Tamandua tetradactyla: one gene and its partner. The protein of the gene in region 1 interacts with the protein of each later gene in a pairwise test. Links are inferred from orthologs where the notes say so. Each region holds a gene or a part of one and is shown in the gene's direction. Other genes may lie near its edges.

What was found. The genes of interacting proteins can lie anywhere in the genome.
Region 2: the proteins of NR1H2 (region 1) and NCOA6 interact in a two-hybrid assay, tested with the Homo sapiens proteins (2 studies listed by BioGRID). The link is inferred for Tamandua tetradactyla from reciprocal best matches to the Homo sapiens genes NR1H2 and NCOA6.

What each region holds. Positions count from the first base shown.
Region 1 is NC_135342.1:10,832,359-10,839,842, reverse strand, and holds the start of NR1H2 (oxysterols receptor LXR-beta), read left to right. Parts: upstream 1-4,282; 5' UTR 4,283-4,383; intron 4,384-4,575; 5' UTR 4,576-4,709; intron 4,710-5,243; 5' UTR 5,244-5,262; coding exon 5,263-5,305; intron 5,306-5,393; coding exon 5,394-5,525; intron 5,526-5,825; coding exon 5,826-6,116; intron 6,117-6,199; coding exon 6,200-6,495; intron 6,496-6,694; coding exon 6,695-6,874; intron 6,875-7,447; coding exon 7,448-7,484. UniProt on the Homo sapiens protein: Nuclear receptor that exhibits a ligand-dependent transcriptional activation activity. Binds preferentially to double-stranded oligonucleotide direct repeats having the consensus half-site sequence 5'-AGGTCA-3' and 4-nt spacing (DR-4).
Region 2 is NC_135327.1:17,839,501-17,846,844, forward strand, and holds the start of NCOA6 (nuclear receptor coactivator 6), read left to right. Parts: upstream 1-4,158; 5' UTR 4,159-4,347; intron 4,348-5,252; exon of another isoform or gene 5,253-7,303; intron 7,304-7,344. UniProt on the Homo sapiens protein: Nuclear receptor coactivator that directly binds nuclear receptors and stimulates the transcriptional activities in a hormone-dependent fashion. Coactivates expression in an agonist- and AF2-dependent manner.

The sequences.
Region 1 (7,484 bases):
TTCCCTTTGGGGAATGGTGAGAAAGGGGGAAAATTCAACTTCCCCAAGTTGAATTCTTGATATTCTCACAAGCAGTGTGGACAACCAAAGCAATAGGCTGAGCCCCCAATCTTGGGGTTTGTTCATATGAAACTTAACCCCACAAAGGATAGGTCAAGCCTACTTAAAATTAGGCCTAAGAGTCACCCCCAAGAGAACCTCTTTTGTTACTTAGATGTGGCCTCTCTCCAGCCAACACAACAAGCAAACTCACCACCCTCCCCCTGTCTACGTGGGACGTGACTTCTGGGGTGTGGACCTTCCTGGCAACATGGGACAGAAATCCTAGAATGAGCTGAGACTCAGCATCAAGGGATTGAGAAAACCTTCTCAACCAAAAGGGGAAAGAGCAAAATGAGACAAAGTGTCAATGGCTGAGAGATTCCAAACAGAGTCGAGAGGTTATCCTGGAGGTTATTCTTATGCATTAAATAGATATCACCTTGTTAGTCAAGATGTAATGGAGAGGCTGGAGGGAACTGCCTGAAAATGTGGAGCTGTGTTCCAGTAGCCATGTTTCTTGAAGATGATTGTATAATGCTATAGCTTTCACAGTGTGACTGTGTGATTGTGAAAACCTTGTGTCTGACTTAGGTTGACTTAGATTGAAATGCTAGTGATCAATGAAAGTGAGGAGTAAGGGGTATAGCATTTATGAATTTTTTTCTGTTGTCTTATTTCTTTTTCTGATTTGACGCAAATGTTCTAAGAAATGATCAGGATGATGAATGTGCAACTATGTGATGATACTGTGAGTTACTGATTATATATGTAGAATGGAATGATCATAAATTAAGAATGTTTGCATTTGTTTGTTGTTATATTTTTAAAAAAATTAAAAATTAATAAAAAAAGAAAAAAAACATGCTAAGTGCGAGAAACTAGTAACAAAAAGCGCCATGTTGTATGTGTCTATTTGAGACAGAAAGTGAATTAGTGGTTGCCAGAAGTTTGGGGTGGGGGCTGGAGGGGGGAAGGAGAATGGGAATTGGCTGCTAATAAGTGTGGGATTTCTTTCGGGGGTGATAAAAATGTTCTAAAATTGATCGTGATGATTGCCCACATTGATGGTTGTCCAAATCTGTGAAGACACTAAACACCGTTGCATCACACACTTTAAATGGGTGAATTGCATGGTATGCGAACTACATCTCCACAAAACTATTTTTAAAAGTTGAGGGGTGTCCCTCCCTTGGGCTTACCCACGGTAACCTTTCTAACACATACTCTCTCTTTTTTTTTATCAACTTCTTTCAGTAAACTTTACTATTTATGCCTACTGTCCCTCTCATCTCTAAATTCTTTTAGTTTCAAGACTGTTGAACCTGATCGGAGCTCAGCTGGCAGCATTGCTGGCAGGGCACTGGTTACATATTCAGGTGAGCCTGGCAGGAGTGATCCCAAAAGATCCCAGGAGAGCAGCATTTTCTACGTAAGACACTGGTCCTGGAGACCTGCATTCTGTTTGCAGTCAACTACAAATGAGAAAATCATCTTCAACAAAAAAAGACTTCTAAAAGAAGCAAGAGTACATCTAAACAGGACCTGCCCATCTGTTTGGAACAGCTCAATCTGGATAAATTACTAAAGAACTCCCGATTCAACTGTATACCAGCTTATGGGACAGATGTCCACGTTCAAGTGTGACTGGGGCATAATTATGTGACAAAATAAATGAACAGGGAGGCAAAGCAGCTCTAAATGTACTTGCCTTCCCCCAAATGCTTTTTTTTCCCCCTCATTTCTCAGCATTGCAAGCTGTAAACCTGTAACCTCCCTTTCCCACACTCAGGGACTTATGTGGAAGAAGTGGTGCAAAGATTGTAAGAGTGGTGGGATGGGGTGAATTATAATGATTTTTTTGTATTTTCCAACATCCCCCAGCCCTTCCATCATTGTTAGCAATTATGCGCATTCCCACATGTACTCTCTCAACTCTGAAAACATCAAACAGTTATCCCTCAACCCCTTTAAGATTAAAGAGATTGAATTCTTTCAGGGAGCAGATTGAAGCAGGATAAAATAGTACAACTGTAAGTCCCTGGTTTCCTATTCAGCTCTGAAAGAGTTAACAGGCAACTCTAAGTCCCTTGTTTCTTATCTAGCTCCGAGGATCTAACTCAGAGCTGCAGACTTCAGCTGCAAATCTCCCGGGACAAAAATGTCACTAAAACCCAAACATCCCCAAAACATTGAATCCTCCCCAAACTATAAAATCTTGTAAAATTCTGGGCCCAAAGCAAACTCTTACTTAATAATAGGAAACCTAAGGACATAAAGATTGTTAACCATTTGCCCAAAGACAATTTTAGGTTCGTGATAAGAAACCATGAATTCTGCTAGCTATGTCCTCCTAGAATAAAGAAGACATCTACTATTTAAAGGTTACTATGGAAACCCACCACCGATAAAACTTTCCTATAAAACAAGCTGGCCCACTCCATTCAGTGGGTGTCCCCCCTTGGGCACGCACGGGTTAACTTCTCTAACGTGTACCCTCTCTTTTTAATAAACTTCTCTTTTAATAAACTTTATTACTTTTGCCTACAAAAAAAGAAAGTTGAGGGATATCCCTAAATGGGACATGACTCCCAGGGGTGTAAATCTCCCCAGTAACGTGGGACAGGACTCCTGGGCATGAGCTGGGACCTGGCATTACGGCATTTATAACGCCTTCTTGACTAAATGGGAAAAGAGAAACGAAGCAAAATAAATTTTCAGTGGCTGAGAGATTTCAAAGAGTTGAGAGGTCATTCTAGAAGTTATTCTTATGCAGTATATAGACATCCCTTTTCAGTTTTTGGTGTATTGGAGTAGCTAGAGGGAAATACCTGAAACTGTTGAACTGTAATCCAGTAGCATTGATTCTTGAAGATGATTGTATGACTTTATACCTTTTACGGTGTGACCCTGTGATTGTGAAAACCTTGTGACAGACACTTTCTTTATTCAGTGTACGGACAGATGAGCAAGAAAATAAAGTCAAAAATAAATAAATACTAAGGGAAGGACATGGGATGTTTTGGGTGTTCTTTTTTACTTTTATTTCTATTGTTTTTGGAGTAATGAAAATGTTTCAATCATCATCGATTGTGATGATGAATGCACAGCTATATAATGATACTGTGAACCACCGATTGTACACTTTGGATGAGTCTATGTACGTGAATATATCTCTCAACACAGTTGCATTAAAAAAAACTTCGTGGACAGTGGGTCAGTTACAAGTGAGAACACTCATCTGCAATTAGGATGGCTGATTGGATGCTTCTATACGTCAGACACTATGCTCCCTGAATCCTTTCATCCTTCCTAAGAAATATGAATAATCATATCTGTTCTAGAGGAGGGCCAACTATGACGTAACTGGCCCTCACACTTCAGTAATTCGTCAACAGTCTTTTGCATTGTTCTAATACCTTAATACCCACAGGACTAAACAATAGCGCCAACATACAGGGCTTCTCCCTCGAGCTCATCCAATTCATATTTTTTACCTCTCAGTAAATCATAATGACAACGCAATAGGTCGATTCTTTCCTCGTTTCCAATTTACAGATGAGAAAACCGAGGCGCAGGGAGGTTGGTTAAGTTACTTCAAAGTTTCACAGCAAGGAAGTGGCAGGGGCACCCATTCCTTCTGACCCCGAAGCCCACGATAACCACTTCTCTTTATCGGTAACCTCTTTGGGTGAAACATTCACGGCCTATAAATTCAGACTGGGGAGTAGCATTTGCTAAACACAGAAGGATCTTTGTATTATCCTATTGAGTGGACAAAACAAGCTACAAAAAGAGTATAGATCTTATATTCTTACACTTAATTTTACAAATGTGCATATATGGAAGGGGGAGGCTGTAGAACAATTTCCATCTTCTACCTGTTAGAATTTCCTCAAGAGCTTTCTTACTTTTTTTTTTTTTGTAAGGGGAAGTTTTAAAAAAATATTCCAATCCCTAAATCATTCAAAACAAAACAAAACATCTTCTGGATGCAGAATTGTAGTTTTATTTAAAACCAACAAGCAGCACATCTCTAAAATCCGAAAACTTGTTAACCCAAAAAAGGACAAAAACGGGTTAACCAGCCATTTGCGAAATGCAGCTACACCAAGGAGCGCTAAAACCGAGCCAGGCGCTTGGATAGCTACACGAAAGGGCCCGGAACTCTCCCGCCGGACCCCAGGGGAACTACCCGGCCAGGGTAAACTTCCGGTGAGGAAACGACTTCCGTTCGGGGCAACCGATTCGGCCCGCTCTGGGCGGACCGGAAGTCCGTCACCTTTCACTCCCCGCCCTTGACTAGAAGTGACGCACGGCGGGGTTGCCGGAAGAAGTGGCGAAGTTAGTTTTGGAGGGGACCTAAGCAGTGGTAGCGCGCAAGGGGACAGAGCGGAGGAAGAGAAGCAGAGAAACGGGAACGAAGGCAGGTGCACCCGAGGGCAGAGGGGCGCCGGAGGAGTCCCGGGCCCGGCGTTTCCCGGCGTCCCCTGCGCTGCTCCGCTCAGCCTTTCTTCCACTCTCTCCCCTCCGTAGCTCGCATCGCCCCGGCTGTTTCCAAAGCAACGGGAGCCGGAGACCCCCACAAGAGGCCGCCTACGAGACCCCCGTGAGCAGCCATGAGCCCCGCCCCCTACTGGCGCTCGGAGAGGGGCGGAACCTGGAGCGAGGTGAGGGGCGGAGCATGATGGAAGGAGGTGGGGCCAAGGGCATGATGGGCGGGCTGGGGCGGGATCTGGAGCGAGTAATGGGGCGGGGCTTGGGAGGGGTACTGATGGCGTGAGCTTGGGGCCAGGTTATGGGCTGTGCATGATGGGCGGAGCCTGATGGAAAGAGGTGGGGTCAGGATGAGAGGGGGTAGCTTGTGGGAGGTGGAGTCTCTGAGTGGGAGTAGGTGGGGTGTGAGGGAAGGGAGGAAATGAGGGCGGGGCATCATTAAGGGGTGGGACCTGGAACCGGCAGGTGGGCGGGATAGGGACCGGGTGGCTGGAAGCTGTCCTGGAGCAGGGGAAGAGGCGTGGCTTGCTAGACTAGGAGGGGAGGATTTGTATGCTGGTAGGGTTCTGGCCTGGGGCTGGGGTGGAGTTTGAATGAAGTTGGATGGAGTTGGAGGAAGGTATTGGGTCCCAGTCGGGCTGGTAACTTGTACCACCTGACCCCTTGTGGTCCCACAAGCCCTTTCTTTAACCCTGTCTGTTCTGTAGGCTGCTCCGTGACCCCACCATGTCCACTCCTAGCACCAGTTCCTTGGACAACCCCCTGCCTGGTGAGTGACCTCCTTTCCCACCCAGCCTCTATTACACACAATCAGAAGATGCTCACTCAGTCTCCTTCTGTTTCCTCCCTTCTCCCAGGAAATGCACCCCCTCAGCCCGGTGTCCCCTCTTCTTCCCCTGCCATAAAGGAAGAAGGTCCAGAGCCGTGGACTGGGGGTCCGGACCCTGATGTCCCAGGCACTGATGGGGCAGGCTCAGCCTGCAGTGTGGGTGAGACAGGACCCAGGGGTCAGGAAGTTCACCTGGGGAGTCTGGGAGGGATTTCGGGAGAAAGTGCAGAGACTGGAAGGGTGAGACGGGATTTTTTCCCTTCTGTTCCTCCTTGACATCTCTTACTTTGACTCATTCTTTGGGGTTCACCCACACCTCTTTTTTCCTCTGAATCCCTGCCTCCCTGGGTATATGCATCTCTCTTCCTGTCTGTTGGTTCTTTGTTGGAATTCCTTGGGGCCGACCTCTCTGGGTGCTCTCTCTGAGGCTCTCCTCACGATCTCTGTCCACCCACCACAGTCACCCCATACCCAGTGGAAGAGCCAGAGCGCAAGCGGAAGAAGGGTCCGGCTCCGAAGATGCTGGGCCATGAACTGTGCCGGGTGTGCGGGGACAAGGCCTCTGGCTTCCACTACAACGTGCTCAGCTGCGAAGGCTGCAAGGGCTTCTTCCGGCGCAGTGTGGTCCGCGGTGGGGCTGGGCGCTATGCCTGTCGGGGCGGTGGCACCTGCCAGATGGATGCCTTCATGAGGCGCAAGTGCCAGCAGTGCCGGCTGCGCAAATGCAAGGAGGCAGGAATGAGGGAGCAGTGTGAGTGCTGGGATTGAGGGAGCAGAGCCAGTCTGGTCCCCACCCAGCTTGGGACCTCTGCTGAGGCCTGCATCTCCCCACAGGCGTCCTCTCTGAAGAACAGATCCGGAAAAAAAAGATTCGGAAGCAGCAGCTGCAACAGCAGCAGCAGCAGCAACAGTCGCCCGTGGGGCCAGGGGGCAGCAGCAGCAGCAGCAGCAGCAGCAGCTCAGCCCCTGGGTCTGGGGCCTCTCCTGGAGGGTCAGAGGCCAGCAGCCAGGGCTGTGGGGAAGGCGAAGGGGTCCAGTTGACGGCGGCTCAGGAACTGATGATCCAGCAGTTGGTGGCAGCCCAGCTGCAGTGCAACAAGCGTTCCTTCTCAGATCAGCCCAAAGTCACGGTACTGCCCCTTCCACCGCCTCAAGGAGCAAGTAGCATCTGGCTAGCTTCAGCCCAGGGCTTGGGGAGGGAGGGAGGCTTGAGAGTCCAGGGGCTTTGAGAGGAGAGTACCCCCAGGTGCAGGCTCTGCCTCAAGATGCCCTCCAGTGTTGGGCTCAAGGGAAGAGTACTGGGAGTGACCATAGTCCCCATGTCCCCAGCCCTGGCCCCTGGGTGCAGACCCCCAGTCCCGCGATGCCCGCCAGCAGCGTTTCGCCCACTTCACGGAGCTGGCCATCATCTCGGTCCAGGAGATCGTTGACTTTGCTAAGCAGGTGCCCGGTTTTATGCAGCTGGGCCGTGAGGACCAGATCGCCCTGCTGAAGGCGTCCACCATTGAGGTAAGGGCTGAGTGCCCAGCCTTGTGGGCTCTCCCTTTCGGCTTCCAGGAGCTCCAAATAAACCCAGGACAGGTGCTGGGAACAGCAGCACGCAGGAACCCCCTCTCCTTGCCCTCTTGGGAGAAGATTACGTCAAACACAGAAACAAGAAAGTCAGGCTGTGTGGCCCCAAGGAGAGAAAGGGGAGAGGGCTAAGGTGGGGAGTAGTTGAATGGACTGAAGGGACCCATTTAGAGAGAGTGTGCTGAGAAGGCTTTTCAGAAGGGTTGATGTCAGGATCAAACAAGTAGATGCTGAGTGCCTGCTTTATGTCAGGCCCTGTCCTAGGTGCTGGGGATAGAGCAGTGAGCAAATCCAAAGCCCCCCTGCCTGCCTCGCCAGAGTCTGGGGAAAGTGAGTTTTGGGTGGTGGGCACAAGTGTGATATTGCTTGGAGGAGGGACAAGTGTGGAGTGTGTCGGGTGCAGGCCTGAGCCAGTGGGGCTGAGTGAGTGGGGGGTGGAAGGGCCAGGAGAAGTGGGCACAGGGGTCCCTGCAGCCTGCCGCTGCCCACCCCGTTCCCCTGTGCCCTCAGATCATGCTTCTGGAGACAGCCCGACGCTACAACCATG
Region 2 (7,344 bases), on another chromosome or scaffold:
CTTCACCATGTGCCCTTCCAGCTGAGAGAAACACCCTGAATTTCATTGGTCTTTCTTGAGTGAAGGTAACCTCTTGTTGGTGCCTTAATTTGGACATTTTCATAGCCTTGCCTTAAGTTGGACATTTTCACGCCTTAGACAGTAAACTTGCTTCTTAATAAATTCCCCTTTTTAAAAGCCGTTCTGTTTCTGATATATTGCATTCTGCATACCCCAGCAGAAAATTGTACATAGGTTCATCCAAAAACATGTACAAGAATATTCCGGTAGTAGTATTAAAAATAGCCCTAAAGTGTAAACCTAAATGCCTGTCATGAGTGCAATGGATAAATTGTGGTACATGGAATAATGAAATGCTATGCAGCAATGAAAGTGAACAAAATACAACTACCTGCAACATTATAAATGAATCTCAAAAATAGAAAATTGAGGAAAAGAAGCCAGATTCAAAAGAGTACTTTATGTATGATCCCATTTATGTAAAGTTTAGAACCTGGCAAAGCTAATCTGCAGAGTTAGATGTCAGGATATTGTTTGCCCTTGATGGGTATGGGTATGTTCTATTTCTTAATTTGAGCACTGATTCTTCATGTATGATCGCTTTCCAAAAATTCATCAGGTTTTCACACTTATGATTCATTCACATTTATGTCTTTATACTATAGTCTAAGACAAAGTTTTTTTTTTTTTCCAAAGGACAGGAATTTCAGAATCTTCTTGAAAATAGGTTTTTTAGTCCTAAGAATCTCTTTTCATTAGTTTTTGATACTTTTCAATTTTTTCAGTCGTGTAGTTATTGCTCTGTTTTCTTCTATTTTTCAATCTTCTTATTTCTGAAGGGAAAGGCATTGTTGTCCATATTAAGCTTTTATGTGAAGTAGAAAAAACTGACCCTATCCTCTCGGGCATTTTATTTCCATTTGTCTGAAAATTGTTATGAAATGATTTCGTATTAGCAAGGCACTATACTGCCTTCTGCTGGTAAATTAGCACAATAAATGTACAGATCTACAATGCCAAGGTGCCGCCCTCTTGTAGCTTGCCCAGCTAAATGTGGGAACCCTGTTGTTTGGCACTGTTAGGATAAAGCCTGTAGACAACAGAATGTTGGTGCTCTTTAGGTGGCTTTGTTATGGATTTTTTCCTCTCTGTTCTTATTTTCTTAAAGACGTCTTTCAAGAATTCACCACCAGTCTTATCACTACAAAGCTCAAGACCATGCAGACACCTAAATGAAAGTAGAAGTTCAAAACTGCTAATTAGTAAAACCGCTTATACCAAAGAAAAATTGATTTGCATTTTCTTTACCCACGTCTGAATCCAGAATAAGAAACTGGGTATCTCAGGACTGCTTGTTTTTGCTCAAAACACTGCAAAACAGCCAGATACCTTCTTCAGGGGCCTCGTTCAATCTGGTGTCTATTGAGGCTGTCATCGTTCTAGGCACTCCTCTAAGCATTTTAGATGCATTAATTCATTTAATCCTCTTGAAAACCTTATCTACCCTTATTATCTGCATCTTGTAGATGAGGTAACTGAGGTACAAAACATTACAAATGGCAATATTACAAAAATAGTCTCCTTGGGGAGCTTACACTTTACTAGGGGTGTGTACACACCCTCCCCCCCCCCATCAATCATATTTAGATTAAAAACAAAGAAGGGAGAATATTCTGAACTCTGTTGGACAAGTCATTTATCTCCCTTTGGTCCAGTTTCCCTATCTATATAATTAGGAGGTTGGATTTATCCAAGATCACATAGCTAATAAACAGCACAGCTAGAATCTGAACTTGGATATTTTGGTTTCAGAGCCCAATCTTGTCATCATTATGTTACATTGTCTGCCAGCTCATGACCTGTTACAGTTCAATGCCACCCTGCATATGCTCCTTCTCTTTCCACCAACAGGATGTGTAGGTGCTCAAGTGGGCCCCTCTCTCCTCTGCTCCCTGCTTCCTGCCTGATCTAAGGAAAACACATGACCCTTGGTTAAGGACACCAATAAGATAATGAAGAATGAGGTAGTCACTCAGGTTCTGGAATCCTGCAGACTTTTCTTACCTTTAGAAGCTTCTATGGGACTAAGAGGTCAGCTTTTGGACCAGCTGATGGCAGGACCCCTGTCTCAGCAGGATGGCGTGGTCACATCTTAATCTTTCAAATTAATGAATTAATCGAGAAATTCATAAACTGTATCATTATCCAAATAGTCATTCTTTAGTTATGTTAGATTTCTAGGCTAAATACAAAAAGTGTATACATTGTATAGTTCTTCTATCTTAAACTCAAGAATTGTAAAAATTAATCTTTGGTGCTATAAGTCAGAGTAGTGATTTCCTCCAGTAAAGGGAGAGGACACATGTGAGGATACAAAAGAGGACTTTCTGGGTTGATAGTGATGCTCTGTAACTTGACCTGGTAACACAGGAGCATAGATTTAAAAATATGTATTAGGTATTACACTTAAGATTTTTGCATTATATCTCAATTTTAAAGAGTTAAAGAGCTTCAAAAATGTTTTCCAGCTTCCTTTAAAGTTCCTTTGGAGTTAATTTGATAGGCTGGAAGTATGTGTCCCCTCGTGGTTCTCTTTGCTTTTCTCTGTCCTTTTGGGATCCAACATCTATCCTGGTGGCCAGGATTCATACACACAACAAACATTTATTGAGTACTTACTCTGTGCCAGGTGCCGGGCACCGTGCTATGTACTTAGAACACAACAGTGAACAAGACGATAAGGTCTCCCTCTTTGTGGAATCCACAGTCTAGTGGTAAACCATCTAGTGCATTCTGCATCAAGGACAAGCACATGGTGCTAAGAAGACTTTTCTGGGGGGTGATCAGGGAGGGTATTCTTGGGTTAGAGAGTTTGAGCTGGAACCTGAAAATTGATGCATTACCAAAGGGCAGAGAGTATTTTAGGCAGAATGATCCGCATGCGCAAGGGTCCTGAGGAAGGAGGGTATCCTGTGAAGAATTTAAGAAAGCCACTGTCATTGCAGCCCAAAGAACAGAGAAGAGGGCCTTAACCTGGAGAAGGGAAAGGGAGGCAAACAGAAAGATATTTATTGGGTTTTTATCTTAAGAACAATGCGGGGCCATCAAATAGGGGAGTGATATGATCAGATTTCTGACTTAGAAACATTACTCTGACAGCAGGGTGAAGAATAGAATGAGTTGGGCCACGGAAGATGTAGTTATATGGTGTATGCTCAATAAATATCTATGGAATTAAAGGGGCCCTGACTCCTTTTTTAGACGGGACCATTATTCCTGAGCTGTGCAAGCAGCTTACAATCTACCTGCTCATCGTCTATCTTCTGTGATGTTTATGACAGACTCACCTTCCTTTTTATTTATTTTATTATTTTTTTAAACATGGGCAGGCACCGGGAATCGAACCAGGGTCTCCAACTTGGCAGGAGAGAACTCTGCCTGCTAAGCCACCGTGGCCCGCCCTTAACGCCCTTTTTATAAATGGGGAAATTGAAGTTCGGAGAAGCAAAGAAAATAACACAACTGTCAAGAGTAAAAGATCAGAATCCAGGATTGTAAAACATCAAGCCCTGTGCAGAAGCCTCCTGACATTTGGGGAGAGGGGAGGGAGCTGCACTCACTTGTTCAGTCAAAAGATATATTTATTAAGCACTTACTCAACTTGCTATCATGGTGGTGATGGGGAAAAGCAGAGAGGGACTTACAGGCAAATAATAATAAAGGCTATCCTTATCATCATTGATGATATTATTAGACACTAAGTGCTAAGCACTGTGCCAAGTGCTTTCCACACCTTCCCTCATTTCCCCTTCGCAAACATTAATATTATCTCAATATTTCAGATACTTAAACTGAGGTTGGGAAAGGTAACTTGCCCTAAGACATTTAGCCAGAGCACTCCCAAAGGGTTGTGCAGTGCTTCCAAAGTAGGATCAAGTGCCCCTGGTGAGATTTTGGTGCTGGTAAGCAGACAGAAACCCATGGGATTTCAGGTCTAAGAGATCCACACCCACGCGAGCCAGCGCGGGCTCCGCCCAGCGCTCCCAAGGACGTTTGATCACGTGGACAGGGCCCCGCCCCTTGGCCCACCCCGTCCCCTCCCGCGCTCCCTCCCCCTCTCTCTCTCCCTCCCTCCCTCCCCCTCCCTCCCTGGCCCGGTCCGGCCCATCCCCCTCCCTCCGGCTCCCTGAGGCCCAGCCGGGTCGGGCTGCTGGCGGCCGGGCGCGGACCGCCGGATAGACGGGCGCGGGCGAGCACGGACGCACACACGCACGGAGGGCCGCGGGCACGCACGGCCCGGGCTGGCGCTCCGAGGCCCGCCCGGGAGGGCCGGCGAGCTGCGCTCAGGTGAGGCGACGGCGACGCAGGCCCGTAAGGGGTGGGCCTGCCGGGCGTCTATGGCCCCGGCCGGCTGGCTCAGCTGGGAGGAGGTACTGCTCCGGCCCGGCGCGGGAAAATGGCGGCGACCGACCGCGGAGCGCGGCCGTAGTGCGGGCTCTGCCGGGAGCCGCCCCGCCCGCGCGTCCGTCCGTCGGGCTCGTGTCCCCGTCGCCATGTTGGGGAGCGGGCCCGGGGCCTGCGGGCGGGGGCGCTGGAGGGAGCTGGGGCCTTGCCTGGGGTGGGGAGGGTGCGGGACGCGGGTTCGGGAACTTGAGGGAGTGCAGTGCAGGGCCGAGCAGACGCCTGCATTGGGTGGCGCTCCGCGCCTGGAGAACTGGCCGAAGCCGGCCATGGGGCCGTGACCGGGGTTGTGGAAAAGGGACACAGGGTCCAAATGGAACCTGGGTCGAGGTCCACGCGGCTGCGTGCGCGCGCCGGACCTGGGGCAGGGTCAGGCCATGGGCGTTGTACAGGACCCCAGAACAGGTAGGACCCAGAGGTTGATAGGGCCGGCCGAGTTCAGGCTGTCAGGACTGGGACAGTTCTCTGGAGGAGGAGCGACCAGAAACAGGGACCCTTGGAGGACAGAATTGGTTATCCTATTGGAATAGCCCTCGGAGCCCCGGGGCTGAATTGCAAGTCCATATAACCCCCAAGGGACTGAGGACTTTGGTGTCCCCAGGATCCCCCAACTCCTGTTGAGGGGGAGCAACAGAAAAAGGGAAGGGCTTGGATAGGAATAGAAAAGAGGGAGGCTAGGTTAGATACAGAAGCTGGTGAGCAGAAGGGATGCAGAGAGTGGAAATAGTTGGCAAGGAGAGAGAGAACCTCCATAAACTTAGAGAGTTTGTGTGTGTCTTTAAAAGGAGGGACTGGGCGGTTGGAGGGTGGTGACACAAGGTATCTTCCCAGGAAGGGGACAGCCCACTGCTTAAGAGCAGGGTCACCTGGGGAGATTGACATCAGAAATGTGTTATTGAAGCCAGTAAAAATGGTGAAGAGACGTGAATGTGTAAAGAATTTTAAGGGCCTTAGAGATCATGTAATCATTTCAGATCATGTAGTGATTTTAGTTGAGACATTGAAAGGTAAAGTTGACTTTCCAAGATCTTGCAGATTAGTGATAGAAGGAGGACTAGAACTCAGGTCTTTTGCCTCCTCATTCAGTGTACTGCCTTAGAGGAATTTGCTAGCTGGGAGAAAAGTGTTTAAAAGTCAAGGATGACATTATATATCAGAGAACTGTTAATGATTTTATTTTGGTTTTGTACTGAGTTTGTCATTGCAAAGGCTGTTATACAAAAAAGTATGGGTGACTTGATATTTTCTAACCCACCTTCTAGCAAAGAAGTTGTTTTCAAGATGCTTTTGACCTTGGACTTTCTAGAATTTTAAGAGATGATCCTTTTCTTCTAGGTGTTTACTGTGCGGTAAAGTGACACAAAAAGTCTAAAAATATAACAGTGAATAATGATATAAATCCAGGATCTAGTTGAAGTTTGATCATGCCAGAGAAGAGGACAAAGATCAGATGGGCTGTGGTAGAGTTCTGAGAGAACCTATGCAAATCAGTCATGATATAGTAGGTCCAGGGCCCTCATTAATAAAAAAGGACTTTCCACAAAAAGATTATTGGAGCATTCATAACAGTAAGATTTTCAGTACAGTATGTGTGCTCAGTAATATTTTCCTTGTTCTGGATTTTTCCAGTGCCAGGGGATCCTGACTTTTTCTGTGCATGGATCCCTTTAGCATCTGGTGAAGCCTAGGAACCTGTCTCAGAATAATATTTTTAATTGTGTAAAGTAAAATACATAGGCTGCAAAGGAAACCAATTATATTGAAATACAGTAATCAAAATAGATTGTTGCCAAAGATGGAAACAGTCCTAGTGCCCATCAGCAGTTGAATGGATAAACAAAATGTGGTATATACATACAATGGAATACTATGCAGCAGTAAGACGAAATGAGGTCCTGAAATGAGGTCCTGAAGTGTATGACAGCATGGATAAGCCTTGAGGACATAGTGCTCAATGAAATAAGTCAGACACAAAAGGATAGATTACTGTATGATTTTGCTTTTATGACCGTGGTAAAGGTAAAATCAGAGACTTATAATATAGAATATAGGGGACCTAGAGATACACAGAACCTTGAGATATCTAATGAGGTTGAACTCAAATGTAAGGGAATGAATAGAAGTGAAAACAGTTCACTAGTGGATTTATAAGTAATATTACTACATTGAAGGTGAACATGATTGAAAGGGATTGTATAGACTCATGTGTCCCATGGATTAACACTACAAATATAAGTTCTTGTATGAACTCGTTCAAAGGTATGAATCTTGTACAGAGAATCAATAATAGAGGGGTATGGGGGAAAACTACTATTGCATGCTGTTCTAGTTTGCTAGCTGCTGGAATGCAACACACCAGAGACGGATTGGCTTTTAATAAAAGGGGATTTATTTTGTTGGCTCTTCAGAGGAAAGGCAGCTAACTTTCCACTGAGGTTCTTTCTTACGTGGAAGGCACAGGATGGTCTCTGCTGGTCTTCTCTCCAGGCCCCTGGGTTCCAACAACTTTCCCCGGGGAGACTTCTTTCTGCATCTCCAAGGGCCTGGGCTGAGCTGCGAGTGCTGAGATGAGGAATGCTGAGCTGCTAGCAGTGCTACGTTGCAATCTCCCATTTAAGCACCAGCCAATTAAGTCAGACGTCACTCATTGCAGCAGACACGCCTCCTAGCTGACTGCAGATGTAATTGGCAACAGATGAGGTTCACGCACCATTGGCTTATGTCCTCAGCAACAAGACTAGGTATGCTCACCTGGCCAAGTTGACAACTGAATCTAACTAACACACATGCTATGGTCTATATGTAAGAAGAAGAGGTCAACAGTACCACAACAATACCAGAGGTAAATAATTGGGGTGGGAGAGGGGAGGACAAGAGTTAAGC